4 linked regions of the Lonchura striata genome follow. The protein of the gene in region 2 interacts with the protein of the main gene of each other region in a pairwise test. Links are inferred from orthologs where the notes say so. Each region holds a gene or a part of one and is shown on either strand. Other genes may lie near its edges. The genes, in order: COX17, KATNAL1, KATNBL1 and KLC4.

Evidence for each region.
Region 1: the proteins of KATNAL1 (region 2) and COX17 interact in binary tests that used the Homo sapiens proteins (3 or more experiments, as listed by UniProt). The two-hybrid records come from large-scale screens. The link is inferred for Lonchura striata from reciprocal best matches to the Homo sapiens genes KATNAL1 and COX17.
Region 3: the proteins of KATNAL1 (region 2) and KATNBL1 interact in binary tests that used the Homo sapiens proteins (3 or more experiments, as listed by UniProt). The two-hybrid records come from large-scale screens. The link is inferred for Lonchura striata from reciprocal best matches to the Homo sapiens genes KATNAL1 and KATNBL1.
Region 4: the proteins of KATNAL1 (region 2) and KLC4 interact in binary tests that used the Homo sapiens proteins (3 or more experiments, as listed by UniProt). The two-hybrid records come from large-scale screens. The link is inferred for Lonchura striata from reciprocal best matches to the Homo sapiens genes KATNAL1 and KLC4.

What each region holds. Positions count from the first base shown.
Region 1 is NC_134604.1:27,333,776-27,340,990, reverse strand, and holds COX17 (cytochrome c oxidase copper chaperone), read left to right. Parts: upstream 1-4,263; 5' UTR 4,264-4,363; coding exon 4,364-4,482; intron 4,483-5,961; coding exon 5,962-6,046; 3' UTR 6,047-6,070; intron 6,071-6,465; 3' UTR 6,466-6,673; downstream 6,674-7,215.
Region 2 is NC_134604.1:68,165,557-68,172,894, forward strand, and holds the start of KATNAL1 (katanin p60 ATPase-containing subunit A-like 1), read left to right. Parts: upstream 1-4,314; 5' UTR 4,315-4,402; exon of another isoform or gene 4,403-4,491; intron 4,492-7,338. UniProt on the Homo sapiens protein: Regulates microtubule dynamics in Sertoli cells, a process that is essential for spermiogenesis and male fertility. Severs microtubules in an ATP-dependent manner, promoting rapid reorganization of cellular microtubule arrays.
Region 3 is NC_134608.1:31,725,338-31,733,081, forward strand, and holds the start of KATNBL1 (KATNB1-like protein 1), read right to left. Parts: upstream 3,353-7,744; 5' UTR 3,247-3,352; intron 1-3,246.
Region 4 is NC_134605.1:18,667,513-18,675,369, reverse strand, and holds the start of KLC4 (kinesin light chain 4), read left to right. Parts: upstream 1-4,613; 5' UTR 4,614-4,744; intron 4,745-6,318; exon of another isoform or gene 6,319-6,447; intron 6,448-7,857. Other genes in the region: cullin-9, read right to left, coding at 765-1,389; MRPL2 (large ribosomal subunit protein uL2m), read right to left, coding at 2,967-3,179, 3,269-3,342, 3,655-3,765, 3,855-3,970, 4,058-4,199, 4,271-4,520.

The sequences.
Region 1 (7,215 bases), about 41 Mb from region 2:
ACTGAGTCTTGCTGTTAGAGACAGCAGTTCTGGTTTTAAACTGGAAGGTGACTTCATTCTTTCAAAGTGCCTTCCACCTCCAGGCTGATGCTCTGAAGATTTGGCTGTGTTTCTGGCAAGAGATGATTTGTTGCAGTACTGGCTTTGTAGAGCATTCAAGAGACAAAAATGCCTTTAAAGTAATCTTGATTCTGCTCTTGTGTTTTTAAGGGCTTGCTTTCCAGGGCAAGGAGACTTCCTCCATATTAACTTCCAAGGTGGTCTTCCAAGAAGGGGATGGTTCAGTCCTGTGGTACAGAATCATTGTGTACAGAATTCATACTGTAGTCCTGAAACAGGAGGATTTGCCTCTTCAGTCTGGGAAGGAACTGGTGCCCTGCTTCTTGAGGTGATATCAGTCCTGTGCTTGAACCCCTTGTCTTCACATAAAGATGGAGTTTGAAGCTTAGAGGGAGTGTAAATAATGACTTTAGAGTCTCTTCCATTGTACTAGACTGGAGCACAAGCCCTTCTATCCCAGCATTCATTTTCTATCTGGTTCCACTGCTGAGCGATAGCATTTGGCAGTTGCAGGTCTGCAGCTTTGATCAGAAAGAGAAACTCTATCCTGTTCTTGGGCAGTTGATATAAGAGGCAGCAGGGTCCTGACAAGACATCTTGCTCAGAGCTTTGAAATCCTTTATTTTCACGTTATCTAAGCATTAACACAAAACATAAACAACTTCTTTGACAGTAAAACACACAGCATATGGTTGACTGGGCTGCTGGAGCCTTGGCTGTCTTATGTTTATACTCAGTCAAAACCAAAAGTACTTCTTTAGACTATATTGAACAGGTTTCTTTTTTCAAGATAATAAAGTGGTTCCCAGAATAGGCAATACGTGGAAAATATCAAAATACCTTCAGCTCAGTTTCGTCACACAAAATTTCCAAAGCTTAATGTACCTTCTATCATGTAATTCAGAAGTGTAGAAAACCTGGAAAACCCCAGACTGCCCTAGACTGTTACTTTCAACCGACATTGATAGGGGCTTACCCAACCTAACAGCAATAATGAATGTAAATACACTTTTGAGGTTCCTTGAAAAATCTGTCCATTGGAGACAAGGACATCTTTTTGGGTAACCATTCTTTTAGTGGGTGAAACTGAATACACAGGAAGCCAGTGGCAATGACGCAGTGTTGCTGTGATGTTCACACAGTATGAGCCACTGCTGTTATATTCTTCAACTCTGATAAAGGGCTGTACAGAGGAAATAATTTGGAAACCCATGACAGCTGGGTAGTCTCTCCCTGTTTCACCCATTAGTCCTTTAAGTCAAGAGCTGTAAATGTCCAGTGCTACCCTGCAGTCCTTGTACTCTGACATATGGCACCAGGCTGCCAAATGATACTGCAGCTTGAGGGAGGGTCTTTTCTCATTATCTCTTTCAGAGACTGAGATTTTCACTGGATCTTTTTTCCTGGGTACTTGTTCTGGCAATTTTCTCGCAGCCTCATCTCAGTAGCCAGCCCTTAGCTATTTCTTCTTGTCTACTAGATAAATCTGTTCATTCTGACACATAGCTCTCTAACATAATTCTTCTGCCACTGTCAGTAGGCAGAAGAGAAATAGAAAACAAAAATGACTGAGTTAACAATCAATTCTTATGCACAGTGCAGTGTCAGAAGAGAAATGGCTGTGGTCTCGCCTCTGCATTGTACTCCAAATGGGTGCAATCAGTATTGAGATGTGTTAACCATGCTTTAATGGATATTCTTTTTCCTTCTCCTCCCTTCCAGCCTCTGTCCTTTCATCCCACCAAAAAATTATTCCTTTTTCTGGGGCAATTCTGTTACAAAGAGAATTGTACAAACACCCTGCAGGGAACATGGCCAAAATAGCAGTGCTCCTCCTTAGCCTTTGGAAGGCTGCTAGAGTGGAATGCTGCTTCCAGAGATGTTTAGTCTTCAGAGGCCATACCTTTTGTGCAGACCCATCTAAAGTCATCTGAGAGATGATGATGACTAAATTTTAATCTCCCTCTTCCCTTGACATTCCATAACTTGGGCCAGAGTATAAAATGTATTTTGCTTTGTGTCTTCCTGGCTTCTACAGGCCAAATCAATGACTTTCAAACTTTGTTTTTAATATTAAAAAAGCTAAATAAAAGATACGATTCAACTGCTAACTTGAGAAACCCTCTTGGAGGTTTTATTACAGTCTTTCCCTCAAAGTTTGTGCTAGATAGAGCTATCAACAACTCTATTTAGGCCTTTGGAAAGTGGTCAGCAAATAAAGCTTTAGGAAGGAAAGAGAAAGATATTTAATTTTAAAGGAAAACATGCTTAGTATGTTTAACAAACTAGGAACAAGGCATTGCTTTGGAGAACTGATGTGTGCTTTTGATAGATGTTTCAATCTCGGCTTTTATCTTGCAGCATGTTTGTGTGAATTTGGGAAAATCATATTTTGGTCAACAAGTGCAACCTGTACATATTCCAGATCATCACACCTGGCATGGCCTCACAATGCACATGTGCTTAAGGCTGTGTGGGTGCTGGTCACCTGAACAACCTTGCCAGAGAAATGGCATGGTGGGGAACAGGCTACTGAGCAGAGATCCATGGATAACTCAGTGGTGATTATGTGAGTGAGTGAGTGAGTGAGTGAGTGCGTGACTGAGTGAGTGAGTGAGTGAGTGAGTGTGTGAGTGAGTGAGAGAGTGAGTGCTACAATTACATGACACTTTCTGTTCCTCCTTGCTCTTGTCAGTGTTCCTATGATTTTGGATCCCCTTAGTACATGATAGAAACTGCCAGTTCTTTTTTGACTCTTACAACATCCCACTTAAAGGCACAGGAGCTGCATCCCAGTGGGCATATTAATCTTTTCCCTTTGCAAGGTCTCAGCAGTGTCACATCCACTGCTGTCCTGCCCTTCCCCCATTACCTGTGTGGGTCACCGCTTTGGTCTGCAGTGTGCCTGCCAGACTAATATGTGTAAGTATCACGTTGGAGTCATCAGGACTGGTGACAAACAAAAATGTACCACTGGGAGGTGACAGACTATGGCCTAAGAGCTAAAAGCCAAGCTGTGGCTTGTATGTGGCAGAGATCTAAAAGGCAAGAGTGGCTTCTGATGCCTCGGATTGGGACAGACTACAAAGGAAAAGCAGCTCTGTATCTTCTCCTTTATTGCCCATGCTGTTGTCCACAAAAGTTGGATACATTACCTGGTATGCAACAACCCAGTAATTACACACTCAGCAGAGATACTGATTATTTATTTTAGAGTTGTGCAAACCTGGGTGTTCTGTGGTATTCCACAGATCAAGCACACCAAGTACCAAAGCTTTTTGCTATTTATACATTTTAGCAAACAAAGGAATTAATGTTCATTGCTTACAAGTTACATACTTCTCTTATAAATTAGTATTCTATCTTTTATGGTTAATGATTTTCACGCTTTTCATGCTAAATAGTCTACATGCTCAGTCTTCTACTTGAGTCAGTAGGTTTCTGGGGTCAGTAGTACCTGAGTTGGTGGACACCATTTCCCCCTACCAGAATTAATTTTTACCCAGTTGGAGCTATTTTAACACAATTGCTGAGTTGACTTTATTGCTTTCTTCCTTATCTTGGCAGTTCTGCCAGATGTCCTTGTGGCCTGTACATTCTGCATTCTTTGTGTCCAGTATCAGTGCACGTTCTTCTTTCCAGGACTTTTTACTCCCTCCCAGGTCTGAGATCACTGAAGCATGGACAGCACTTGGAGCTCGTTAGTTGCTCTCTGTTTCACAAACTAAATATCCCTTCTTGTTGCTTAAGCTTGAAAACATAAAAGATCAAGCATCAGAGCACATCCTTTTGCAGCAATGCCAAGGGCCGGCCCTGCTGGGCCGCTGCCATGAAACCGCGACATTAATGATGCCAGTGATGGTGAGTGTGCTGTATCCGTGTGACCACCCTCACAATGAACTGATCCCGTGTTTTCCCCGCTGGCTGGGTGGGAAGGAAGAGGTTAGGCGGCTGGGCACAGCTTTAAGGGTGGAGCCGGCGCTGGCAGAGCCGAGGGCGTCACTCGCTGCTCTCGCCTGACGCTATTTTCCCCCGCGCTGCCAGCTCCCTCCGTGCCTTCGGGCTCGTTCATTACCGAGTGACCTGGAGTACGCCACTCGCGCCCCGGCACCGGCGGCAGCGCCGAAGCGCGACGGCCGCGAAGAGGCGGGGCGGGAGGCTGCCCTGCCCCTCCCGGCAGGCCGCGGGCCGGGAAGGGCGGGCCAGGCTTCCCGGCACCAGCCGCGGCTTCCCGGAACCAGCCGCGCTCGCACGGCCGCCGGCCCGTCCTGCCCGCGGGCTGAGGGAGCCGCAGCTGCCCGCCATGTCCTCGGTGGCCGCCGCCAGCTGCGACGGCAAGGGCGCGGCGGAGGCGCGGGAGGAGAAGAAGCCGCTGAAGCCCTGCTGCGCCTGCCCCGAGACCAAGAAGGCGCGGGACGCCTGGTAGGGACCCGGCGCCGAGCTCCCCGCGGCCGCCCCTCCGTGCCCGGGCCTCGCCCTGCCGCTGGCTGTGCGCCCTGCCCGCCGCATTCCCTCCTCCCCGAGTGCGTGCCCCGCCGGCCTGCGCAGGGGCTGAGGGCGCTCTCCCTGCCGCAGCCTCCCAGGGAGGAGGGACAGCGTGGAGGAGAGGAAACTGGCGTAAAAACACGCTGTAGAAATGAATGGTTTAAAACCGCATAGCCCGCGTTTAAAACAGGTTTCAGAGATCAGCTTTTAATGCTGCTTCCCCATGTTCGAATTCTTCTGACGGTTTTTGTAGATCTTCACTATTGTTGATTGAAGCAACGCGTATCAGCAGGTGATAACTTCTTTGTTGTTCACCTGAGTATAAATTACATTCTCTTTTAAATAAAGCAAAATATTCTGGTTTTTTGAGGCTCAGAGGATGACATTTCCCAGAGAAGTTCAAAATTTGACAGTGACCTGTATAGCTGCATTGGTAATTACAGGCTTAGTCGTGATTGTAGGACCTATAAAACAGTATGAAGTGCACCCTCAAAATGGAGCTCCTTTGACAGTGAATCTTTAAGGTTTAAAAATCTTTAATCTGATGACCAAATTGTCTCTTTGTTTTTTTTTTTTTTTTTTAACTTTGCTGGTGGTATAGATGGTAGGTGACAATACTGAACACTGTTTTTGCTAAGTTTAGGGGAACATGTCTAATTACATAGTATAGTGAGGGTGAATACAGGGACCCTTAAGAAAACGATGGTAGGGTGGATGGTACTGGTCAGATGGAGTTGCCCTGGGCAGCCAGGGGATGTCTATGCTCATTGTAAAAAAACCTAAGAAAAAAACTAAACAGTTCTGTCATTCAGTCAAAAAGCAAGTCTGAACTGCTTTTGTGGTATACATGATAATACCAACAATGAGAGACTTTTATTTGGATAGATGAGTAACATCAAAAGTTATCATATATGGTGAATCATTTTTTCAACAATAGCTGGGCAGGTGTTGTGTTTTGTTTTGCTTTTTGCTTCAGGGTCCTTAAATTGCAACTGAAGTTGGACTAAAATATAATTTACTGATTAGCCCATTCTGTATTGTTCTGTTACTGGAGAAATTTTGTTGCTTCCATGCTGAATAATTGGAAACTGGCCAGCTCAGCATACTTGATGATGTGACAGTCTTGTGTTGTATAACAAATCCCCATCCGGACTTGCCCAGAATAGACCCTGGCCTGTGAATAGGAAGTTCTGTTATGCCTGTTGTCAGAGTTTTAGGTGCACAGCTCCAGATTTGGGTAACATTTTGGGATAGTTTTATATTGTCCAACACAGCACTACCCTGGACAGGATGGGAAAATCTCTAGATCCTAATAGGGATTTTTAATTGTCCCCAACAGCTTGTCAATTCTGTTTCTTTGACTAAAAGTAAGTGAACATTTTATTGCTGAACCCTGGAAATCTTTTTGTTTTGCAGCATTATTGAGAAGGGAGAAGAAAATTGTGGGCACCTAATCGAAGCTCACAAAGAGTGTATGAGAGCTCTGGGCTTCAAGATATGAGTGAGATGAGCAGGACTGAGTGGGGTGAGTACAGCCTTCAGGACCTCTGCCTCTGAAGTGCCCTGGCACTTCAGCTGGTACCACTGGAAGGCCCAGAGTAGTGCTCGTGATGGTGTTGCCCTTATGAGAGGGAAGGCAGAGCAATCCTCATTGGCATTACAGCCAACATTGCTGTCCTGTGAGGGTGGTGAAGCCCTTGGCAATACACAGCCTCTATGAGTCACTCTTCAGCAGTAGAATGGTGCTGCCTCTGTTGTCTGCTAAGAGATCCAAACCTCAGTTTAGATTTCTGGTGCTAGGACACATGGGAATTGGTTTTTGTGGGTTTGTGCTGGGGTTTTTTTGTTGATTGTTGAACTGTTGCTCAATATCCAGTGGAAAACCATGTTTTGTGAAGCTGTGTTTCCTTTCTCTTCTAGATGATGTCTTTGGTGTGACTGCATTCTGGAAAGCTGCAAAATAAATTATTTCTGCAAGTTACTGCAAAGAACAAATATAAACAAAGAGTCTATTTATGAAGAGTCTAAAGATAGAGTATGCATCACATCTGTAGCTTTTCCACTGCTTGCTCTTGACCACTGCTATAGAAAATATTATTTTTTCCTCTTAATAAAACCCTGAAAATGACCAGTGTTCCTGCCTTCTGTTTCTTTTTAAGTAAAGAAGTGACAGTGCCCTCCTTACTGAAAACAGCATGCTGCAAGAATGAGAGAATGAGGAAAGCCTGCTTAATCATTAACGTAGGAACTCTTTCTTCCTACTGATTACTGAGGTGGTGTGGTTGAGCAGAGAGAACTTTGGTGGGTTTTCCCACTGATGCAAATTGTGAAATCATGCTAGTAGCATTGCGCTCTAGCAGCTTTCAGCAGCCGTGCTGAAGCTTGCAGTGCTGTTTGTGACACTAGCTGTAACTATGTTTGTACAAAGGTGACCACAGTCTTATGAAATGAACTTCCTTAGAGTCAAAACTGTATTTGATTTCCCCATGTTCGAATTCTTCTGACTGTTTTTGAATACCGTTACCTGAGCTGATTGTTTATAATGAAAAATTAGGTACTTTCCACCTCAAACTTGCTTGAGCCAGTAGTTCTTCAAGGGAAAGGGAGCAGAGTTCTGCTCCCTATCACTGCAAGAGACTTATGTGCAGGTTACTTGCCTGAAAGTAAAGT
Region 2 (7,338 bases):
AAACACAATGTCCTAGTTCCTGTTTATTTTTCTAATTTCTGTCCACAAACTCAAAGCAGAACAGGTGAGTTTTTTTCCCAGTGTACTGTTGGCTTGTTTCAACTCATCTCAAAGATCTGTCTTCTCTTCCACCTGTGATTTACATTAAAGTGACACTGGCCTATTCTTCATCATTTTAATCAATCAACTTAAAATTGCTATAACAGCTTTCTCTCTCTAGGGCCCTAACAACTCAACACATTGGGTGGGACTCCTGTCACCTACCTTTAGACATCTACAGTGCAAACACACTTAGGCTGATCAGATGAGTCTGCTGTAAGCATTGGAAAAAAAATAAGCACATTCAGAGCACAATCCACTTTGGCTGAAGCAGGAATTGTATCCCCAAAATCTTAACTCAGAGGAAAAAGTCTACATGACAGATGTCTACATAGACCAGATAAATAAAAACATCCTTGCCTATTCCACCTCTCACCTTCTGGCTGTTTAAAAATCAACTTACACTGTTCTCTATTATAAATTGACAGCACTTTGAGATGTGCCTTGTGGAAAGGATGTTGATTAAATCTTTCTCAGGGTTCAGACTCTGAAGTTTTTTCCTAGGAGAAAAATTGGTGGATGTGTCATACTGGTAAATATAATTCCATAAAAATATCTATGCAGAAGAACAATTACTATGCGTGTATGAAAATTAACAGCCTACTGATGCCTTTACTGACTTGTGCATAACTTCCCTTGCAAGGTTAATGTCCATGAATATGTAACATGCACCTTCTTCTCCCTACTGCTTCCCTATTGTTTTTCCCTTTTCATTATTACAGCATTTCTCCATACAGCCTGTAAGACCTTCGGTAAAGAGTTATGTTTGCATCTGAGCATTAAAGCTTATTACGAAGGCACAATAACTCCTGTAGTCTAGTTAAATATAATTGCAAGGGGAAGGGAAGACAGAAGCAGAGGGCAGTTCATAATTCACAGACCTCTCACATGATTTCAACCTTCTCCTTGCAGAACTTTGTGGGTGGGAGGAGGTTACAAATGAAGCTCTCTGCTACTTTGTGCTAAAAGCCTGCGCCAGCCCTCTAGTCAGTGGAATTTATGTAATGATAACCAAATCAATTCAGAAACCAGTTTTGTTAATCTGTCAGAGACCCTAAGAGTGCAGAGCTTTAAACTTCTCTGACAGTGTCTGCAATTACTCTAGCAGAAGAGACACTTCTGAACCAAATCTAATGTTCATGGCAAAAGAGTTACATTAATTTCTATCAGCTTCTGATTGAACTGACTAGAATAAATCAGAGTGAGTGGGCACACAATCAGCTCTACTGGCAGATTTGCAGATTGCTGGAAAGGGCCATGATAAGTCTCTGGGGTCTGGCTGTGAGTAATGCTATCCTCCACCAACACATCTGGATCCTGCCGAACCACACTCGCTGACACCCACCATCATCATGTCTTATCCAGAACTGCTAGGTTTATAGCCTCTATCAAAAAATAAAGAAGTTGTAAACCATGAGAATATGCTCAGAGTAGAACAAGCTTCAGTGGCTTAAGGTGTCACCTCCCCTCCCAGCAATTTCCTACCTCCTCTTTGCCTGAAATTCATGCCTCACAGCAGAGTTGGTGGAATGAGACACACACTAGTTCCAGCTGTTTCAACACAAGGTCCAGAAAATTAGCTTAAACTGCTCATAAGATTACTTTAACATCATATTTTGCATTAAAATGGCTTAGAAAAATTAGTGCTTTTCAATCCAGGGACTGCTGTAGAGGCAGGAACCTTCAGTAAGGAGGTCAGAGAAGCATATTTTTTGCAGCAGTCCAGCGAGATTTGCTCAAATTTGACCTAGCATTAGGAAAGACTAAGAAATTGCACACTTAAAGTTATCATTTTTATGGCTTACTAACAGGCTTATGAACTTCTGATTGCCTGACTGGACTAGGTGGCCTTCTGAGGTCCCCTCCAACATGAATTACCCTGTATATCTAGGGTGCGTGGCCAGGAACCTGAAGACACAGTTCTTCCTGCTGACACAGTCACAGCACATCTTGGCAAACTGTGGAGACCCATGCTTACCAAATTTCCCCTCAGAGTGGTCAAAATAGGTTGACACTGGTATTGTTCTGGTGCTGAACAACTGCTTTTCAGAAGGGAAGTCAGCTGTAGCATGGGGACCCTCTGCCACTAGGAAGCAGCCCCACTTGACTCAATTGTTACTAGAAAAAGGGATGGGGGGAAAAAAACAACCAGAAAAATAGAGATTATGCCCAAATAACCAACCTTCTCTGGGTCACAATTTCCTGGCTGGGGGATACAATCCTCAGACCAAGCACTTAATGTGCTGCCTAATGTGGTAAGAGGTACATAGTCTCGTGGGAAGGGATATTATGGAAGTGCTGGGACAGAGCTGCTTATCATCTGCTCTCCCCTAGAAAGGCTGAACTCTGTAAGGTCTGCACAGCATCTATGTTTCTGCATATGTGAAAAAACAGCAGGAATTGATGTCATGGACAGGCAAGTTCGAAGAAATCTGGAAAAGGGGGAAGCCAGAGTTGCAGCTGTTATGAATTCATCACGATTTTGGCCCTGGTTCCAAAATTCTCACAAAGACATAAGAATCTCCACATGATTTTGAGGCAAGCAAGATCTGCAGATCTATGAGAGACACATTCATGCATGCTGTATTGTTTAAGAGGCATACTGAGCTTTTAGTTTCAATCCCTGCTCTTTCACCTGCGTCAGTTAGCATTTCTGAGAACCTTACTGTGAGATACAACCTCATGCCGCTGCCTTAAAGTAACAACAGAAATTTTCCAGAGAAATCATATACTATTATCAGGTACGATCACAAGATCATCGTCACTGGGATGCTCTCAGAGCTGTCACAAGGCAGTTTCAGCAGTAAGGGCTCACTGCAGTGGTGCAGCTGCACACAGAAACACAACTCGGATTCACTGGGATTGCAATGGGCTACTCCTGCCTCCACATCTCCTCTGCCTTCCTTGTGCCTGCAGCACCTCTAAGAATCAGCTAATTCGGGAGCTTTCAGTTCCAGCAGAACTCGGTTAATTTTTTGGAGGAGCAAAACTGGCTGTCCACCAGATCAGATCCCAGGCTTGCCTTGCCAGATGGCATCATCAGTGTTACTGCGGTGTAAATAACAAACAGAAAGGCATATCCATGATCAGAGAGGAATGCAGGACTGCCCCTTTCGGTGGCAATACAGACACAGGCTGTCTTGCATTAACTGTGAAATTACATCCCTAGAAAGGTTTGTAACTGCATGGCTCCCCTCGCAGGACACCAGACTGCTAGTATTGACTGTGAGCCGCACGCTTCAGAACACTAGGTAACATTCACCCTCAGGAGATGACACAAACTGGGTGGTGCCACCCTGTGAGACTGCCTCTGATCACCAAATACCACTTTGGTCCAGGAACAGGGCAAATCCCTAAATCTGTTCCTTTACGGTACTATAAAAGTGTATTACACTGCAATAGAAAAGATAATCCAGTGTCCTTCTGCATGCCCACGCAGGACAACCGTATGCTCTGCATTTCCTAGACACACCCACAGACGAGCTGGAGGCACATGAGGTTTGCATTCAGACTGTGAACGAGCTCTGATGTGTATTCAGAGCTCTTCCCGCTGGTTCCAGCCGCAAGGACACGACGCAAGGGCAGAAACTGATGCACAGGAAGTTCCAGCTGAACATGAGGAAGGACTTCTTTAGTGTGCAATGACTGCGCAATGGAACAGATTGCCCAGAGAGGTTGTGAAGCCCCCCTCACTGGAGCTATTCAAGAAGGGTCTGGACGCAATCCTGCGCCATGTGCTGTGGCATGGCCCCGCTTGAGCAGGGAGTTTGGACCAGATGACCCTTCCAGCCTGAGGCATCCTGTGACTGTGATTTCAGCCTCCCGCCCGAGTCCTGGCGCAGCAGAGCGCGGCGGGCGCTCAGCAGCCAGCCCGGGCGCTCGGCTCCGGCACTCCCTCCCTCCCTCCTGCCCGCCGGGCCCGCGCCGCTCCAGCTCCCGCAGCCAGCGGGGCGCTCTCCGCCCGCCTCCTCCGGGGATGCTCAGCGCGGAGCCCCGCCGAGGGCTGCTAAACGCGGGCTGGGCGGCGGCATCCGCAGCCATCGCCGGCGGTGCCGCGGGGTTTTCCTTTAGGAAAATATCCCTTTCCCCCGCCGCCAGGACACGGCGGAGGCGCTCCGGAGGCCGGAGCGGCGGGGCCGTCCCCTCCCCGCGCCCGCCGCCGCCGCCATGGCAACCGCCCGTCGCCGCGCGCGCGCACCCCCTTCCCCGCCCGCCCCCCCGGCCCCGCTCTGACAGAGCCGCAGCGCTGCGCCCCCTCCCCGCGCCGCTCCCGCCCGCGGACACGCACCCCCGGCTCTCCCAGGTAACGGCAGGGCCCGGGAACGGGGCAGCACCTCACGGCGCTGCTGCCCGCGGCGGGCGGCGGCTCGGACCCCGCCACGCCGAGAGAGGCGGCGGGGATGCGGGGGAAACCAGCGGTAGAGGCTGGAGGAGGGTGGGGGCGCTCCCCCATCTCCCGCGGAGCGTGCCGGGAAGTGTAGTCCGCGCCCCCCGCCGGGCCTTGGGGGCTGCCGGGAGAAGCGGCGGGAGGGAACTACAGCCCCCAGCGCTCCCGGCGGAGGGGGAGAGATGGGTGCTGCGGAGGGGACCCCTGTGGGGACGGGAGGCTCCCTCTGAACGAGGGCACTGAGGCGGCTCTCCCCGCGGAACAGCGAGGGACAGAAGCCCCTGTGGCGCTGCCGGGACGGGAGGGGCGCTGCGGCAGGGCCGGCTGGGAGGGTGGGCGCAGGGGCGGTGCGGCTGCGAGGGGAGGTGCGGGGCAGGGCAGGGCGGCGAATGGGGGGTGGGTGCGGGAGAAACACGGGTGGGTGCCTGCGGTGAGGGGAGGATGGGTTGGGGGGCGTCTGGATGCCAGGGCGGGAGAGAAAGAATACAAGGAAAGGGGCACATGGGAACATAGATGGATGGATGGATGGATGGATGGATGGAGATGTGCTGGAGGAGGAATGCTGGAGCAGATGGACGGAGAGAGCTGTGCAGAAGGCAGGGCAGACTGGAGTGTGGGGATGGGTACGAAGGAGGCAATGGTCAGAGGGAGCTCTGGAAAGTTTCCCCAACCAGTTTGCATTTATGGTTTCCACTTTCACATCTCCTGAAACGCTTAGGCTCTGTTGAGCTTGTTTCACTACGTGGTCTGGACACAGTGTAAACTTTTAAAAATTATTCTGCTACATTTCTGCTTTTCCCAAAAATTTCTGCCATGATGTCAGCATTTGTCCCTTTTCTCTTTCCATTTCCTCTCCTGACAGTTCTCGTGTTATTTTTTACCTTGTGTTCTCTAACAGTCATGGAGGGGAATAAAATTACAGTTTCTCTATATATCATACTTAAAATACACATGTTTATGACTAGTATATAAGGGGGTGTCATTTTTTCTTCCTGAAAATCTCTATCTTAAAAGCATCAGTGCATTAGTACTCCCTTGTATATGAATATTGAATGTCTATTCCTACTACAGTTTCACATTTCACAGTGATGGGTTTCTTTCCAACGAACGCTTGATTGCAGTTGCAGATTGTTGAGCAGTTTCTTTTTTCTTCCTTTTTCCCCCATCCCTGTGTCAGCTATATCCTAGACAGGCTTCAGCTTCTTGCAACTCCTGGTACCTGCCACACTGCAGAAGTGAACATTGCAGCTGCAGCGTGCTTCCAGGGTGCTTGGCTCTTGGAGATTTGGGCTTTTGAGCAGGTAATGGGGAGAAATAGATCTCGCCCTGACCCAATTCAAATCAAAAGCCTGAGAAATAAATGGAATACAAGAAAAAAAAAGATAGGCCTTTATCAGGCTTTCTGTGTAATTAATTAAAAACCAACTGATTTTTCTGGGGATGAACTGAGAAATCTGAAGACTGATGTCTGTAGCACTAACAGCAGTATGCCTATAAATGTATATATTTTTTAAAATGTATGCTATTCTATTTGAATAATACATATCCTTAGTCTTAAAGAACCAATTATTTGAAATTCACAGTGGGGTTCAAGAGGTGTAAAAATATTCAGCCCAAAATTCTGACCTTATGGGTCAGGGTTATAAACACCTGTGTGAGTGTATTAAACCTGCAATTATTCATGGAAAGCTTATCTGGGATGCAGCTTGGCTGAGCTGGGAATGGAGCAGCAGCAGCACCCAGTCTCTGTGGCGCTGGCTGTGGTCTGGTAGGGCTCATGGGCTGCAGCATGGGGGGAACACGGGCGTGCTGTATCCAGGCCAGGTGCAGGAGCAGTTTCACTGCTTTTCTTCTGGGCACAGAGCCCGACCTAAGAAACGCTCTGAATGCGAGCTGGCTCTGTGCAGGCCCATCTTGGGAGCCTTTGGTGGCATGTTTGCTCTACCAGAAGTGCTTACGCACATGATACGCAGAGAAGCAAGTGGCTCCACAAAGGACCAGAAGGATTATTGACTCGGGGTGGTTCCACTTCGTTGCGCTCCAGACAGGCCCTAAAGAATCCTTCAGGTATCTGGGCCCTGCTCCTGCAGAGGAGGGCTTGACTGATCCACCTCAGTGCTGGTCCCAGCTGAACATGGGCCTGGGTTTGATTTGATACTAATGTCAGAAGCCCTGGAGGCTGTGCTGGAGAGGAGAGAGAGGTGTGGAGCCAGCCGGGGTCCAGCAGGGCTAAGGTGGAGCAGAAGCTGGCAAGCCTGTTACTGCCTGACCTGTGTGTGTATGGAGTTATGCTCCCCAGAGTACCCCACTGCATTTGTTTTAGCTCTTTTCCTTACCCGGCCTTGCTAATGAATACCTCATTACCCCAAGTAATGGTGGTGTGGCCATATGGATGTGTCTGAAACTGGTGTATGAGGTGCTTGGAGAAGGATACAGTTCACACTCAGTTTTAGGAATAGCACAGCCATCTCTGATTCTCCTTTCTCCTTCTTCAGAAAACTGTACTTCAAAGGCTCTGTAAATGGCTATTTCATGCTCCAGGATGCTTTCTGTTTGGCTCACCAAACTAATGAAATCTCTAATTTAAATCTCTAAGTTAATCTTTAATTAAAAGACTGACCACCTATTCAGTGTTTTGTTATGTCTTTACTTTTGTCTTACTGTGTTTACTTTTGTGGTGAATGTCTTTACTTCATTTGAAGATTTTTTTTTTCACTTGCACTCCAAGTAACTCTGTTTCAAGTTAAGAATGCACACAAAAATAGTTTGAGGCCTGCACACATGCTTCTTCTCCTTCCTACTTCCCATACACATTTCCCCATTAACTCCATGTCTGCTATTGTAAAACAGAG
Region 3 (7,744 bases), on a different chromosome or scaffold from region 2:
TACCGAGTCAAGCAATCTATACCTCAATGTCTTTAATTTCTGACTTTTTCCTTGTGATGACCACAGTTGTATTCGATCAAGACAATCTGCTATATAATCTTATTGTGGCCAATGCACTTTCCTCACTTTACAAACTTTAAAAATTAAACTAAGGATAGAATGCATGTCTCTACAACTCTGCCTCGGTCCATCGTACAATCCTAAACTGTTTTACAAGTGAACAAGGTAGACTGCAAATCTGAACAGAGATGTATGATTTCATTAGGATGACAGAATCAAGTTCCACCAATTTCCCCTATACAGCGGGTGATTTCTGAGAGCAAGCGACCATCTCCCCCTTTTATTCTCTTCAATCTCCAGTAAGAAGAAGGACTAAAGTAATAGCAGCCATGTCTCCTGAGCATAAGCTGGTTTGTCCCTACACACAACAGACAGTACCTGTGCGAAGTTTTCTTGATGGTTTTACTGGTATTTTCTATCTCTGATCTCTCCCATATGCAATAAAACTCTTCAGGTCATACCAGAATTAGGCAAAGAAATCAGCACTAACAGGCTTTCAAGTGCATATCTGTCCAAGGCAAGTATTAACAACTCTGCCACTCCCTCCCATGTCCTAAGTTCTGGGCACGGCCCCCAGAGAGGGACAAACTCTTCTTGGCACATTATGTAATCTACATGCATATTAACATAATAAAATTTTCTTACAGAACACAGGCTGCCATACTTTGCATGGCAGTAAGGAAAACCTAAAATAGTTAGATCTCTTAAGTCATCAGCAGTACCTTTTAAAACACACACTCTTCCATCCTATTCCTTGTCCAAATTCTTAATAGCTACTTTTTCCTGCAGCATGCCCCATGCACCAGCCATGGGAAATGCTCCTGTGATATTCCTCCACCCCACAGTAGCCCAACTGCAAGTTCAAGGATGACAATATTAAACTCAAATGAAAAGCCTCATTAATCATTACTCCCAAGGAAGAGAGCACATGCTTTGAAAGCATTCCAAATAGGTATGCATCAGGGTCAACTCATTTAACTGGCCATTATCAGATCTACAATGGTCACAAGAAACTTCCAAGAATGGTTATTTCAAATTTATTTCCAAAAGGGTAATTTGCTTACAACAATAAAATAGCACTATCTTATGACGTAGAAGTGATTTTGCAAGCTTGGCATAACTTCCTTTCATTTTAGCTCTGATAAATGTTACAGAATCCATGTGTCTTTGTGTTTTAGAAGGCTTCCACATCCTTTGCATAGGAAACAGTTTGTTTTTTTTCTAATTCCTTTTTTAGTAATTGATGTACTCACCAGCTGTTAAAATTGAGTTTTCTTAAAAAGAGGAAGTGGCATTCAGATTTTAAGGAGTATGTTAATGCAAAACTTTTCTGCAACATTATAAATAGTGGTATATGCCAGCAGAATACAGTTTTTTAATGTGCTACACTTGTCAGGGCATTTGTTCCAGATGTTGGTAAAAACTACAGGAATTTCTCTAAATTTGCAGTAAATAAAAATACTATTTGAACAACTAATTATGGTAAATTAGCTTATACCTAAGATTTAAGTTCATTTTCCTCTTACATATGAAATTTGTATGTGGCCCACTGTTAGTCATAATGAACCTTCAAAGATAACCACAAGTCACAGCTCATCCAAGTTTAGTGAGGATGAACCCAGGTGTGCATTAGCTTTCATTGTGGAAATAGCCCAGGAGTCTAATAACTGAACCTTACTTACATTTTCTACAAAAAAAAAGTAAAGAACTCAGTTTTCTGCATCTGGAGGTACCATTTAGAGGTATGTAAAGGTGCCATAAAGTAACAGCAGCTCTCAGTGGTTAAGTCCTTTCTGAAGTCATCTTTCACTAACGAAAAGATACTTCTACCTGTTGATCTTTACTTATGAACACTCTGGTGACAATAAGCTTGAAAAAGTTTTATAACTGAGAGATGTTAAAAAGCTTTTATAAACATTATAAAAGAAATACATTTCCACAACACTAAAGCTTCCACATTAACGTCTTACACAACTCTTTAAGAAACTACCCATGAAATTAAATACAGCAATTTCTTCTACCATTTACTGCTCAACCCAAGGAGTTTTAAAAAACTGCAACAAGAATGTTGAACTCAAACCCAGAGACAGACATACTGACAAACCCCTCAAGCTCCAGACTTGGTGGAGGTTAAGGAATTATTCACTACATGCCCACCTGGCTGAACAGTCTGTCACACAATTTTCACATGGCTTTTTATGCTACCCTCAAATACATTCCTATTATTGACTGTAGTCTGTTTACAGCATTTTAAAAAACTTTCTTCATTTATAGTCAAGCTTCTTACCCCAAGACCAACACACAGTAAAAGTGGGTATGAAGTGATGTATATAGATACACGTGGCTGTAAGAATATATGTGTATCAGCATACTGACATACACTTTCTAATATACATACAAAAAATACCTTCATAATGTAATTTTTAACATAATGAAATTCTGAGTTTTAAAGTTTAGGAATTCAAATCAATTCTAATTTTAGTTCAAGAATGTCTTCTTTCCTATCAGCAAGGCCAAAGAGGCACAAACTTGCCTTCTGTTAAGAGATGGACGAAAGCTGCTTTTAAATAAACAGACTTAACCTTTCTCCAAAGCAGAGCATGTTACAAAAACAGAAACAAAAGATTTCCAAGATCATCACGTAATCGCTCCTTAAGAGAGCTCTCTATACATAACATCTTTATTTTAAACCTGCATGCAAAACTATCCAGCCCAACGCTGAAAAAATAATTTGAAGCCTTTTGAACGAAGTAATTAATGCAGGATCTGATCTTCAAGCACATAAGGTCCCCCCTCACCCCCCCCCCCCCGTCGTAACCCTGGAATCTGTCACACCCAAGAAATTAAATCCGTCAGCAGGCCTCACACCCAGCTTGTTGTCCTCCCTGTCGGCAGCACCAGAGCCTTCCCCGCTCTCCTGGCACGGCCCCGCCACTGCACGCGCCTGCTTCCAGCTGGGGCTGCCGGCACCATCTTGGAGAGGCGCCCAGCGCCAGAGCTCGCTGTCCGGAGCCGGCGGGCACCGCGCACCGCGGGCTCGGAGCGATCCGCGCCCGCGCACTGCCCGCGGCCCCCGCCGCCGGCCCGCCCGCCCGGCGCGACGCCGCGGAGCCGCGCCCGGTCCCGGCGGGGCAGAGCGCGGCCCCGCCGCGCTGCCGTGGCTGCGGCCGGCCCCGCGGCACTCACCCGCTGCTCATGTTCGGGGCCGGGCCGGGCGGAGGAGCGGCGGGAGCGCTACTGCCGGGGCCCGGCGCCCCGAGCCTGCGCCATTCAAACGCCGCCGCGGTGCACGCCGGGCCGCGCGCGCCGCGCCACGCCCCGCCACGCGCGCCGCGCGGCATCGCGGCGCCCCCTGCCGGCCGCGGCCTCGCGCCGCGCCCCGCCCCGCCCCGCCCCTCCGCGCCGCGCGCTGCTGCGTCACTGCGCGCGGGGAACGCCGGAGAGCCCCGGCATGGAGCGGCCGGGAGGGAGCCGGGGAACGCCGGAGAGCCCCGGCATGGAGCGGCCGGGAGGGAGCCGGGGAGCGCCGGAGAGCCCCGGCATGGAGCGGCCGGGAGGGAGCCGGGGAACGCCGGAGAGCCCCGGCATGGAGCGGCCGGGAGGGAGCCGGGGAACGCCGGAGAGCCCCGGCATGGAGCGGCCGGGAGGGAGCCGGGGAGCGCCGGAGAGCCCCGGCATGGAGCGGCCGGGAGGGAGCCGGGGAACGCCGGAGAGCCCCGGCATGGAGCGGCCGGGAGGGAGCCGGGGAACGCCGGAGAGCCCCGGCATGGAGCGGCCGGGAGGGAGCCGGGGAACGCCGGAGAGCCCCGGCATGGAGCGGCCGGGAGGGAGCCGGGGAACGCCGGAGAGCCCCGGCATGGAGCGGCCGGGAGGGAGCCGGGGAACGCCGGAGAGCCCCGGCATGGAGCGGCCGGGAGGGAGCCGGGGAACGCCGGAGAGCCCCGGCATGGAGCGGCCGGGAGGGAGCCGGGGAACGCCGGAGAGCCCCGGCATGGAGCGGCCGGGAGGGAGCCGGGGAACGCCGGAGAGCCCCGGCATGGAGCGGCCGGGAGGGAGCCGGGGAACGCCGGAGAGCCCCGGCATGGAGCGGCCGGGAGGGAGCAGGGGGATGCCGGAGAGCCCCGGGATGGAGCGGCCGGGAGGGAGCCGGGGAATGCCGGAGAGCCCCGGCATGGAGCGGCCGGGAGGGAGCCGGGGAATGTTGGATGATCCCGGTGATGGAGCGGCCGGGAGGGAGCAGGGGGATGCTGGATGATCCCGGTGATGGAGCGGCCGGGAGGGAGCCGGGGAATGCCGGGGAGCCCCGGCACGTAGCAGGCGGGAGGGAGCAGGGGGATGCCCGATGATCCCGGTGGTGGAGCTGGGGGTCCGCGCTCTCTGCCTGTCTGCCGGCCGCCAGTGACGAGCCATGGTTAGGAGTGTGCAATGCCCAGACTGACTGAGAAACCCACGGTAGCTCCACGCTCTGCTGCATTATCACAGAACCACAGAATAAGCTGATTTGGAAGGGCCGCACAGGGATGTCCAAGTCCCACTCGTGCATAGCACCATCCCCAAGAGTCACAGCATGTCCTCGAGAGCACTGCACTCTGCCAGGCTGTGCTGTTCCAGTGCTTAAACACCCTTTGGATGATAAACCTTTTCCTAATTCCAACCTAAGTCTCCCCTGACACAACTTCAGGACATTATCTTGGATCCTGTTACTGGTCACCGCAGAGAAGAGATTGGTGACCCCTCCAATTCCCCTGAACAAGAAAGTTGTAGACTGCAATGAGATTTCCCCTCAGTGACCTCGGCCACTCCTCATATGGCTTCCTTTCAAAACCTTTCACCATCTTCATTGCCCTACTTTGGATGCTTTCCAATAGCTTAATAACATCTTACACTGTGGTACCCAAAACTGCCCCCAGCACTGGAGGTGAGGCTGCCCCCAGTGCAGAGCAGAGCAGAGCAGAGGGGACAGTCCCCTCCCTTGCCCAGCTGTGATGCTGTGCCTGATGCACCTCAGGACACAGGTGGCCCTCCTGGCTGCCAGGGCGCTGCTGACTCTGTTCAACTTGCCACAAACCAGGACCTACAGGTCCCTTTCTGTGGTGCTGCTTCCCAGCCTCTCGTTCCCCATTCTGTCCATACATCGAGGGCTGCCCATCCCAGGTGCAGAATCCAGCATTGTCGCTTGTTGAAGTTCATATAATTGGTGATTGTCCAGCCCTCTGAGATGGTGTCTCTGCAGGGCATCCCTGCCTTTGAGGGAGCCAACAACTCCTCCCAGTTTTGTATTATCTGCAAATTTGTTTAGTATCCCTTCTAGTCCACAAAGGGCTCAAATTTTGTAATGAAAATATAATTTCTGTCAAGGTCCCATTTGTGTTTTCAGAAGCACACAAGTTGTACTCTGGCTACTCAGCAATGACTGTGGACCATCTAGCCGCTAATACTGACAGGTTCATTATGGTTATCCTAGGGGTCAGCTGTAGTAAGTTCCATTAAAAATTCCCACTTCTTTTATGTATTTTTCTTTGATTTTGTTTTTGATAAGCATACTTTCAGTTGTTTTAAATTTGTATGTGGATCTTGAAAAACAGTTCCCTTAGCTAAATAGTCTTATACCTTTTCTGAATATATTCCTTAGCCTATTTTCCTTTAACTTACTTTTTTTCTCCCGTCTTTTCCAAATTAAAGAAAAAATTAAAGTTTCTTTTATATTTTTGGTTTGGTTTTGTTTTTTTGGGGTTTTTTTGTGGTTTTTGTTTTGTTTTGTTTTGTTTTTTGCTTTTTAAATTTAAACAGTTGATTAATTTTTTAATATTTAAATTTTTTTGCAAGACCTAATTGTATATTTTCAAGTAAAATAATTACACATGACAGATTCCAGTTTTTGTAGTCTATCTTAGAACAATGCTTTTTACTACTTACTGTGACACTAAGTGTGATGTGGTAGGATGGCTATGGACAAAAGATGGAGTAATTTTAGTCATTAGAAACATCATGATTGTGAATGGATTAAGCAGGTTATCATGAGAAAAGCTGACCAAGAAGTTTTATATATACACACTGCACACATTTCTGTAGCTGCCCTAAGTGAAGCTGTACGAAACATGAAGGGAGGAATGAACAGTAAGATAGCAGCAAGGAGCTTTGCTTGTCCGTTCCCCTCTCTCAAGGGCAGCTCTTTTGCAGTTCCTTCCATGGCTCCCCTGTAAATGAGTTCTTTGTGCATGGCCTGACAGATTTGAACAGTCCAGTCTTCCAGATGGGTGAAGGAGTCTAACTAGATGTCCTGGTAATTATGGTAATTATAGTGGGACAGGATTTTATAAGATCATGATATGTAATCTCAATCACGTTTTTCTGCAGGAGTGAAAGAATATAGATTCAAATATATCCAGGTCTAACATGGAAATGTACACTTATTTATATTCAAAAATTACTTACTGGCTCCTTCCTCTTGTATTCTCATATTTTCAACCTTCATACTGGTACTTACTTGCATTTTTAAAGAATTCTAGTGATTACATCTGGTTATAGAGAAGTTCAGAAATTCTGTAAGTTTTTTCCCTAGCAGTTATCTTGAACTCTAAATTATATGTTTTATGTCATCTTCACAAATGTAAAAGTAGCTTCTCTGACAATTTATAGTGTATAACATAAATTTTGATAGCAATTGTGGATGCAATACAGAAATCTATTGTGTACTAATTAAAAGCTTGAATGCAGCAGAGCAAAGTACTTGTGCAGAAGGCAAAGAAAATGAGGATATAGGATGAATAATAAATTCACTAAAACTGGTTCTTCTGTTCTGAGCTGATTAAGGTGTTCTGACTGTGTAGTGTTAATACCAGTAATGTGACTCTTTTCCTGAAACCTGCAAAAGGGAATTCTATAATGATATTTTTTTCTTATGATGCCTACTCCATTTATTTCCAGATTGCATTTCTCACAAACAGCCTACTTGGTTTTTCTATTTCTCCTGACATTTTTTCTGCAATAAACTTTTCCTTCCAGATGTTGCATAAGTAGTACTATCCAAATTGATGCAGTAATTTTACCAGCCTGGCTTCTTTTTCATTCCTCCTTAGGCAGAATTTAAAGTCAATAAAATGCACTGACATTTGTGGACCTTCTCCCAGATCTGCCTGGGCTGTGCAGTGGATGGGAGATTTGAGGGGGCGGTAGTTACTCCAAGACTATTAACTGTTTAATCCTTAGCCCTCAGGTTGGAGACAGGATGGCTCAGGCAATTGGTAATGGGATAAAGCTTTTCACCTCTGAATTGCCAGCTCTGGGCCAGAATAGTAGGACAGGTTATTTCCACCATCTGGTGTCTGGTCAGCGACCCATATGAGGGAAATCAGTAGCCATCCCTGCTACTGGCGAATAGCTTTACAATTAACCCCCCTCGCCCCCCAACGCTTACTGTGAGAACGATTGCGCCACAGACAGCTCCAAATGAGCACGAGGGCTAAAAATCCCTCTAGAAACGTGACGACCAGGACTCAGCACACTGAAGGGAGTGTGGGAAAATTTGCCAGCATGAGCTGTCAGGGGATACTGTTTCACTGGGAATATTCACTTTACACAGGAAGCTAGATTTTAGACAGCAAACCACGGATGATTCTTGGCTGAAAACAACAGCAGCTTGTAAGAAGAGTAACACGATTTTTCTGTCATGCAGAAAAAGCTG
Region 4 (7,857 bases), on a different chromosome or scaffold from region 2:
CAAGGTATGAGGTGGGTGGTGGGTGTGCTGGAAGTCCCAAGGGATGTGTTAATGTGAACTGTGGAACAAAAGTGCTACAGGTTTACTGGCAGGTAGCAGGCTTTAACAATGAGCACGGGGATCCCTGAGACTGGTAGAAGGGCTTGGATCCAGGCACATGTTCAGGAGAGAAGGGCCATGCTGGTACCCAAGGGATCCATGAATGTGTGTGTACTTGTGAACGTGGAAAATGCAGTACGTGCTAGCTGCAGTGACCTTCTGTCTCTGCTGGACGAAGAGCAGGAGGGGACACGGCTGGCTGTACTTGTGTTTATGTGAGTGCTGTAAGTGTGTGCTGAGTCCTGCCTGTGTCTGTGCTACAGGATGGGCAATCAGCTTTGCTACTGGTTGAACCTGCAAATGGAAAACTTGCAAATGACAGCTGCATCTCTCAGCTTGAGAAACTACAGATTCCCCAGGCTGGGCTCCAGCAGTGGAGCAGAGGTGCTGGGGCTGCCAGAGGAGCCTTTACATTCCTTCACACTCCTAACAGTTAATCAGCATCCCAGCTCAGAAACCTGGCAGGGGAAAGAGTTTCTAACTCCAAGAGCAGTCCAGACAACTGCAACCATGGAAGTCTGGAAGATCCACACTGATTCTTCCCCTTTTGCCAAGAAGCCCCGAGACATGCTGCTTCCCAGGCATTTCACCCATCCCAAAGGCCTGGCACCCCTCAGCTGCCCAGCAACCCCTCCTCAGTGGCACCGAGCAGGAGCAGCCCCCACCTGCATCGTGTGCACCCAGAGCGTGCAGCATCTCGCCGGCACTGCGGCGGATCTGCTTCTCCCTGTGGCACAGCATCCTCGTCAGCAGCTCCAGGGCTCCCGCCTCCCTGAAGGCACCCGCCAGGGAGCCGATGCTGGCGTAGGCACCCAGCACGTGCACCGTGCTCAGGATGGAGCACTCGGGTGTCCCGGCCTCGGCCACCTGGCGCCTGGCTCGCTGCACCAGGCTCCTGACATCGGCCTTCATCTCCAGCAGCGAGGCTTCGTCCAGCAAGGCTTCGTCCAGCGAGGCTTCGGCCAGCGAGGCTTCCGTGGCCAATGGACCAGGCGCCTTCTCCTCTTTCAGCCTTGGCCCTTCCGGCCTCCTCTGGCCCAGCAGCACTGGGCAGCTGGCGCAGACCTCTTCTGCAGACATCCACATGGAGATGTTCTCTGCCTTGGTCTCTCCAGAGGAGGCACTGCCGCCTCCCGCTGCTCTCTCTTCCAAGCTAACAACGCTCCACTGCACCAGGTATTCCGGACGGTCGTCGTGGCCCCGCCGCTGCCGGAGCAGCTTCTCTGGGCGGGCCTGCAGCTTGGGCCCCAGCTGCACAAGCAGGGTGCCATTGTGCTTCTCATTCACCATGGCAGCAGATGTGTCTGCAGAGACAGAGGGGAAGCAGGAGCTGGGGAGAGGTGGCTGAGGCATGCTATGGCTAGAGAGCCGTGTTCCTGTGTGTGACAGTGCTGGTGATATGGCAATGCAGCCATAAAAATGTGCTTTTATACCAGCTGTACTCAAGGACAGTGCTGTACAGCCCTAACACAGCAAGTATGAGATATGGCTTACTTTCTCCTTGAAAAGCCGCATATAGTTACAATATAACAGGGCAAAACACAGTGATTTCTGGACTGTCCAACAGACTGTGGGCACGGCAGGAATACGGACAGCAGTGCCCAGGAAGGACAGCTTTCCCCAGGAAGCTTAGCTATAACACCCGGCTGCGTGCTGATGGAGCGAGCTGCCCGAGGCAGGCAGAGCCCACATGCGGTATCAGGAGGCCAGCACAAGCTGCACATGGCCCAGCCGGAACCGGGACACGGTGAGGGACAGGCCTGTGCCCGGGCACACATGCTAAAGGCAGGCGGCACGGCACTGCCATCCCCGTGGAGAGGGTTCGTGCGGGCCGGCCGCGCCAGCGGCAGCACCAAAGCTCCTTCCAGGCGCGGGCAAAGCGAGAGCTCGCCGGGCACGGAGCACTGGACCCGGCCCGGTTCTTGCCCGGCCGGCCGGTGGCCGCGACCGAGGCCTCCCGCAAACGGCCCGGGCCCGTCCCGGGCCGGTCCGCTCGGGGCGCTCCCCGGCCGCCGCCCGCCCTCCGCCGGGGCCGCGCCGAGGCCGCCGCGTTACCTCCGCCCCGCTCCCGCGCCGCTCCGGCCGCGGCGCCTGCGCGGACCCGCCCGACGGCGGCCGCGAGGGCTGGGCCGGCGGGCGGCAGCGCGGCGCTCGGCGCTCGGCGGAGCGGGGCACCGGGAGCGCAGCGCGGCGCTCGGCGGGGCGCGGAGCGGGGCGCCGGGAGCGCAGCGCGGCGCTCGGCGGGGCGCGGAGCGGGGCGCCGGGAGCGCAGCGCGGCGCTCGGCGGGGCGCGGAGCGGGGCGCCGGGAGCGCAGCGCGGCGCTCGGCGGGGCGCGGAGCGGGGCGCCGGGAGCGCAGCGCGGCGCTCGGCGCTCGGCGGAGCGGGGCACCGGGAGCGCAGCGCGGCGCTCGGCGCGCAGAGGGACGGGCAGGGTGGGACAGGGAAGGCGGCGAGGGAAGGACGCAGCGGCCGGCGGTAGAAGGGCCAGGGAGCAGTGAGGCGCTGCCGGGGCTGGGAGGAGATGATGTCCGTGATTCGCAGCTTCCCAGTCACCTTGGCTGGAAGCCACCTTCCAGTCCGCTTGCCTTCACTCCTCCACAAGCTGAGGGTGAGAGAAGAGCTCGGGTGTCCTGCAGCTAGGTTTGACACGATTGTGCCGATTGACCGCACCGGGTCACCCACCAACCTCAAACTCAAGCCAAGGCAATCCACAGCCCCACACTCATCTCTCCCACCAATTCCACTCCAGCCAGGGACTGAACACAGCAGAACTTGACCCGTGGGAAAGTGAGGAAAGACCCTGTGCATAAAAGACAAAAGTAATGCAACAGCAGCGGCATGAAAAACGCTTTATTCGCCCTGGGCATCACTCCACTGCTTTGACACGTGGCAGGTTGACATAGCTTTTCATGGGTGGGAGAGGCTTGATCTTGCGCCCAGCCCAGCCACCCTTGCGGTGCCACAAGCCCGTGTGTGGGCGCTTGCCCAGCCAGCGGTTCCGGCCCGCCTTCCCGATCACCCGCTTGTTGTGATCCACGTTGGACACGCGGCCCACTGTGGCCACGCAGGTCTCCAGCACCTAGGGGAGAGAGAAGAGCTGCAGGACTCTCTGGGGGCATACGGCTGTGTGCCCAGGCAGTCGAGCCAGGGGCAGCACAGCTCCTTTACCTGCATATGCCTTTTGGACGGCAGCTGCACGATGGCTGTCCCATTCACTTTCCGCAGCAGCACCCCACAAGTACCTGCAGCAGGCAAGAGAGGAGGCAGCTGCCTTGAGCAGCAGGACAAGTATCTCACCCTGTGACAAGCACATCCCCATGCTGGTAACTCCCCAAAGGCCCCCACTATTGTACTAAATGCAGCACTTCTTGCTGAAGACAGAGCCTTGAGGAATCAACGGGGCAGAGCTGCCCCTGCTTTTCAGAAGGGATGTGTTGCACTCTAACATAAGAAGATGGCAAATCCCTGTCACAGGCCAGTGCTCCCCTACCATCCTCTCCAGCTGTGCTCAGCCAAGCTCCTACAAGCAGTGGGTTCCCTGTGTGGGGACATACCAGCTGCCCGGATGTACTGCGCTCCCTTCCCCGGGTGGCTCTCCAGGTTGCAGATCAGCGTGCCAACAGGCAGAGCCCCCAGTGGGTACGCGTCCCCTTCACTGGCTGACACTGGAAGACAGAAGCTGACAAGTTGGGCAAGGAGCAGCCGATGAGCCCTTGGCAAGACCAGCACAGCTGCCCCTGGCCCTGGCGTGCACCTGCCATCCTACTAATGTGAGGTGAGTTCGTGATGCTGTTCCCTGGCTGCATGTTCTCCGTGGCAATGATCCAGCGCTTGCGGTTGCCGCCAGCCACCAAGGCGATGTTAGCCGACCTGCACGGAGAACCCGCGGCGGGTGAGCAGGGGGCCGGGCCGGCGCTACTGCCCGGGCCCGGGGCCGAGCCCGCACGCCGCACTCGCCTGCAAGGGTCGTATCGGACGCTGATGACCTTCTCGGTGAAGGGCTCCGGCGGGGCTCCCTCCTCGTAGCGCAGGCGCTGGAAGTCGATCATGCGGTAGCGCCGCTTGTGCCCCCCACCGATTCCCCGCACGCGGACGCGGCCTGCGGGACACGGGAGCGGCTGCAGGCGGGATCTCCCGCGCCCAGCCGGCCCCGGCAGCCCGCCCGCCCACCTGTGTGGTCGCGGCCGCCCGTCTTCTTCATGCCCACGGGCCGCACGGTGTACTTGACCCGGCACTTCCACAGCGGGTCGGTGGTGCAGCGCGGCGCCGAGCCGCCCAGCCCGCGGCAGGCGGCAGGAGCCGACACCGGCCCCGGCAGCCAGGGCTGGGGGCCGGACGGCAGCGGCGGGGGCCGGGCCCGGCGGGGGCCCGCCGACAGCAGGAGAGCGCCGAAGGCGCGGCAGAGCCCCAGCGCCGCCATGGCCACGGAAAGGCGCCGCCGGACGGGGCGGGGCCGCCGCGGGCCTCACCTGGCGCCGCCGGCAGGTGGCGCGCTCCCGCCGGCGGGGCTGAGGCGGCGGCCATCTTGGATTTAAAGGGGCTGCGCCGCTGAGAGGGCGGGTGGTGCCGGCCGCGGGTCTCGCCCCGCCCCCGCCGGGACCGGGACAGCGACTGGGACCGCCATCGAGATCTTGCGCCCAGCAGGTTGGACGGGCGGGTTTACGAGGGCTCGGTCGCTTCCCTCGGCGACCCTGGCATGGGGAGGACACACGGAGCCCGGCGGCGCATGCCGGAGCGGGGGCGGCCTTCCCGGGGCGACGCCGCCCCGCCAGCCGCGGGGGGCGGTGGGACCCTCCGGGGAGCTGGGGAGGCCCTGTGGTGGGGCTGGGCTGGGGCTGGGCTGGGCTGGCGAGGCTCGGGGCGCCCTGCCCGCTGGGCAGCGGGACGAGCGGGGGCGAGGGCAGCGTTCGGGCCGTGCCCGCCGTAACGCTGCGGGTCGGCGCTAAGGGCGCTGCCGGCTCTGCGGACTTTGGAGCCGGCGAGGCGCGCCCTGCGGGATCAACCCCCTTCAGCCCCGGGAGCCGCTGGCTCGGGAGCCCTGCCGGTGCCCGCTCTGCTCGGGTAGCTCCCGGTACGCGGGCTCGGTGCGCCTGGCCTCCCCGCGGGCAGGACCGACTGCCACGCAGGGACGGGCGGCGGAGGCCGGGAGCCCCCGGGGGAAGAGCGCAATGTGTGTGTGGCAGCTGTGGGTCAGCCCGAAGTCCCGGCCGTGGCTGTTTCCAGGGTGCTGTAGGCACAGACTGCGGGATTCACTGCTCTATAATTAGTCTGTGTCTTCATTGCCAAGAATGGCTTTCACTGTAACACAAATAATCTATGTTTGCACTTCTGCTGTGTAACTTATGTGAAATGTAAGCGTGCCATAGTTGTATGTACCCCCACAGCCAGCTAGATTTGCCCTCCAGAACTAGGGAATGGAGGGCACCAAGGTGCTTTAGTTAATAAATATGTGTTGTGCGATGAGGCAAGAGAGAACCTGCGTGTCAACATGGCTGGGCTGAGCTGTGTTCCTCCTGGGACACCTGAAGCCCTTCCCCGTCTGGGGGAATCCGTGTGGAGGGACAGGAACACCGGTGCAGTACTGGTTCAGGCAGATGTAGATAGCTGGGGACATCGTCGGGAGCACCGTGACAGTTGTGTGTTACCGTGCATGGGATGGCTGTAGCAACAATCTAAGCTGGATCCCGTGTCGTTGTCCTCTCTGAGGAGAGCAGCCAGACTGAACAAGTGCTTCCCAGCAGTACCCGGCCTAACCCCACACTGCGCAGTGTGGACACAGCAGGGCTCCAGCTTTCCCAGATCTCCTGAATCTGTCCATTGCTGTGGGCACAGCGATAGCCTCCATGCAGCTGGGGGGCTCTCGGCAGCTACACCAGCTTGACTTTGGAGGCTGGGATGGGGTCAGCAGTGGGGACACAGCCGAGGGTGGTACCAAACAGGATGTAAAACCTTCGGCCACAGGATGGAGGGTGGGATGGAACGGGGCTTTGTCGGGCTGAACAGGAGCCCGGTGGTGGCCAGTGCTGCTTGGGAAGCATTTGGCGGCACCGTGGGGGCTCGGCCCTGCTCCTGGGCGCTCCCGTGGATCTCCGAGGAGGGAGCTGTGAGCTTGGCGTGCGTGGCGCTTTCTGCGCTCCCAGGAGAGCGTCCGACCGTCCTGTTCCCGGAGCGTGTCCGCATCCCTCCCCTCCCCCTGCCGCAGTGTGGTTGGCTGCCGAGCGCCGGGTGCCTGCGCCGCTGCTCGCTCCCCGGGCGGCGCGGCAGACGGAGCCGCGCAGCGCCGCGGCCGCCGCTCCTCCGCCGCCTCCGCGAGCACCGGCGCTGGACAAGCCGCTGCAGGCAGCCAGGTACCGCTCCTCTGCGGCGCGGGGCGGGGGACATTCTCATCCGGTGACTGAGATGGGCAGGGTGCCCAGCCATCCTGGAACAAAGGACCGCTTTGATGCGCAGTTTCGGGCAGAGCTGATGAAAACTTTTTTTCCCTTGTGAAGCTTTCACTTAGCCAGGTGGGCGCAGAATTTCTCTGTGGTGGTTCTGAGGGGTGAAGGGGTTTCTCTGGCTTGTTTGTTTCAAGGATACGCAGCGGGCGTGCCTCCTGCTGCCAGACAAAGCCGGAGAAACGATGACGGAGCAGGTCATACAGCAGTAGCTCTCAGAGAGACTTGTTTTGCCCCAAACCGTCTTTTCATTAATTAACTGCATCCTAAGGTTTTCCGAAGTGGAGGGGCACCCTACCAAAGGTGGTAGGCTGGGGGAATCGCTGGTAAGCTTCTGTGAAGGAGAGATGCGCCTGGGAGGAGGTGTCTGAAGAAGAGCTGGGGGATGGTGTTGCGGTAGAATGCTCTGGCCAGGCAGCCGGGGAAAATCTGCACAATGGTGGGAGGCAGCAGCACATTACCAGAAACAGCAGGCTTCCCTGCGTCTTGCATAGCTGGCATCTGGCACTCTGCTGCAGTTCCATGCTCGGCTCTCCTCTAGTGCCCTTGGTCTCCTCTCTGCCACGCCGCCTTGGAGATGCAGAAAACACCCACCCCTGCCTGTGCTTGTGGGGAAAGAGGGTGGTGTTCAGCACACATCAGGTCAAAGATCTGGCCAGCTCAGGCGCAGGGTAAATAAACATGGCTGTGCTTTGCTGTAATTGGCAGAAGGAGCAGGAAGCATGTGTTCTCTCATCTGCTGTTTTGGAGGAATGTCCAGGTTAGAACAACAGCATTAACCCCAAATACCAAAATGGCTCTTGGGGCACAAAGGACATGTGTTAAGATACTGACCTTGGCAGAGTTACTGGATAAATGCTTGATTTGCTGAGAAAGAGCCGCATAGCTCCTCAAAGAGCTCAAGCCAAAGATAGAACAGGTCCTCTGCCTGTTTTGCAGGTAGAGGTTTGTCCCTATGACTTTGCCTGCCTTGCTGTGGTTTACAAAAGCTGTTTGCTCTTGGAAATAGTAGTGCAGTCTTGCAGCCTGCAGTCGGCTAGTCTTTGCAGGTGCCCCAGGTACACCATGGAGGGAGTGTGGGTATACCAGAGTCCCTCAGGGCACACAGAGTGGCTCCAGAGCTCCTGCTGGTCCCATCTGCATCCTGGTTATCTCCTGTATATGGCTCAGGCACATCTAGTGCATAGCCCTCACATTAGACAGATGCCTGCAGAGGCATTACCTCCTGGGAATTACTCTGCCTGCTTTAATACTGCTTCATGCTGTCAGGGCAAGGTAATGGCTCTCGCTCTGTTTTTTATAGTGCAAGACTCCCAATCA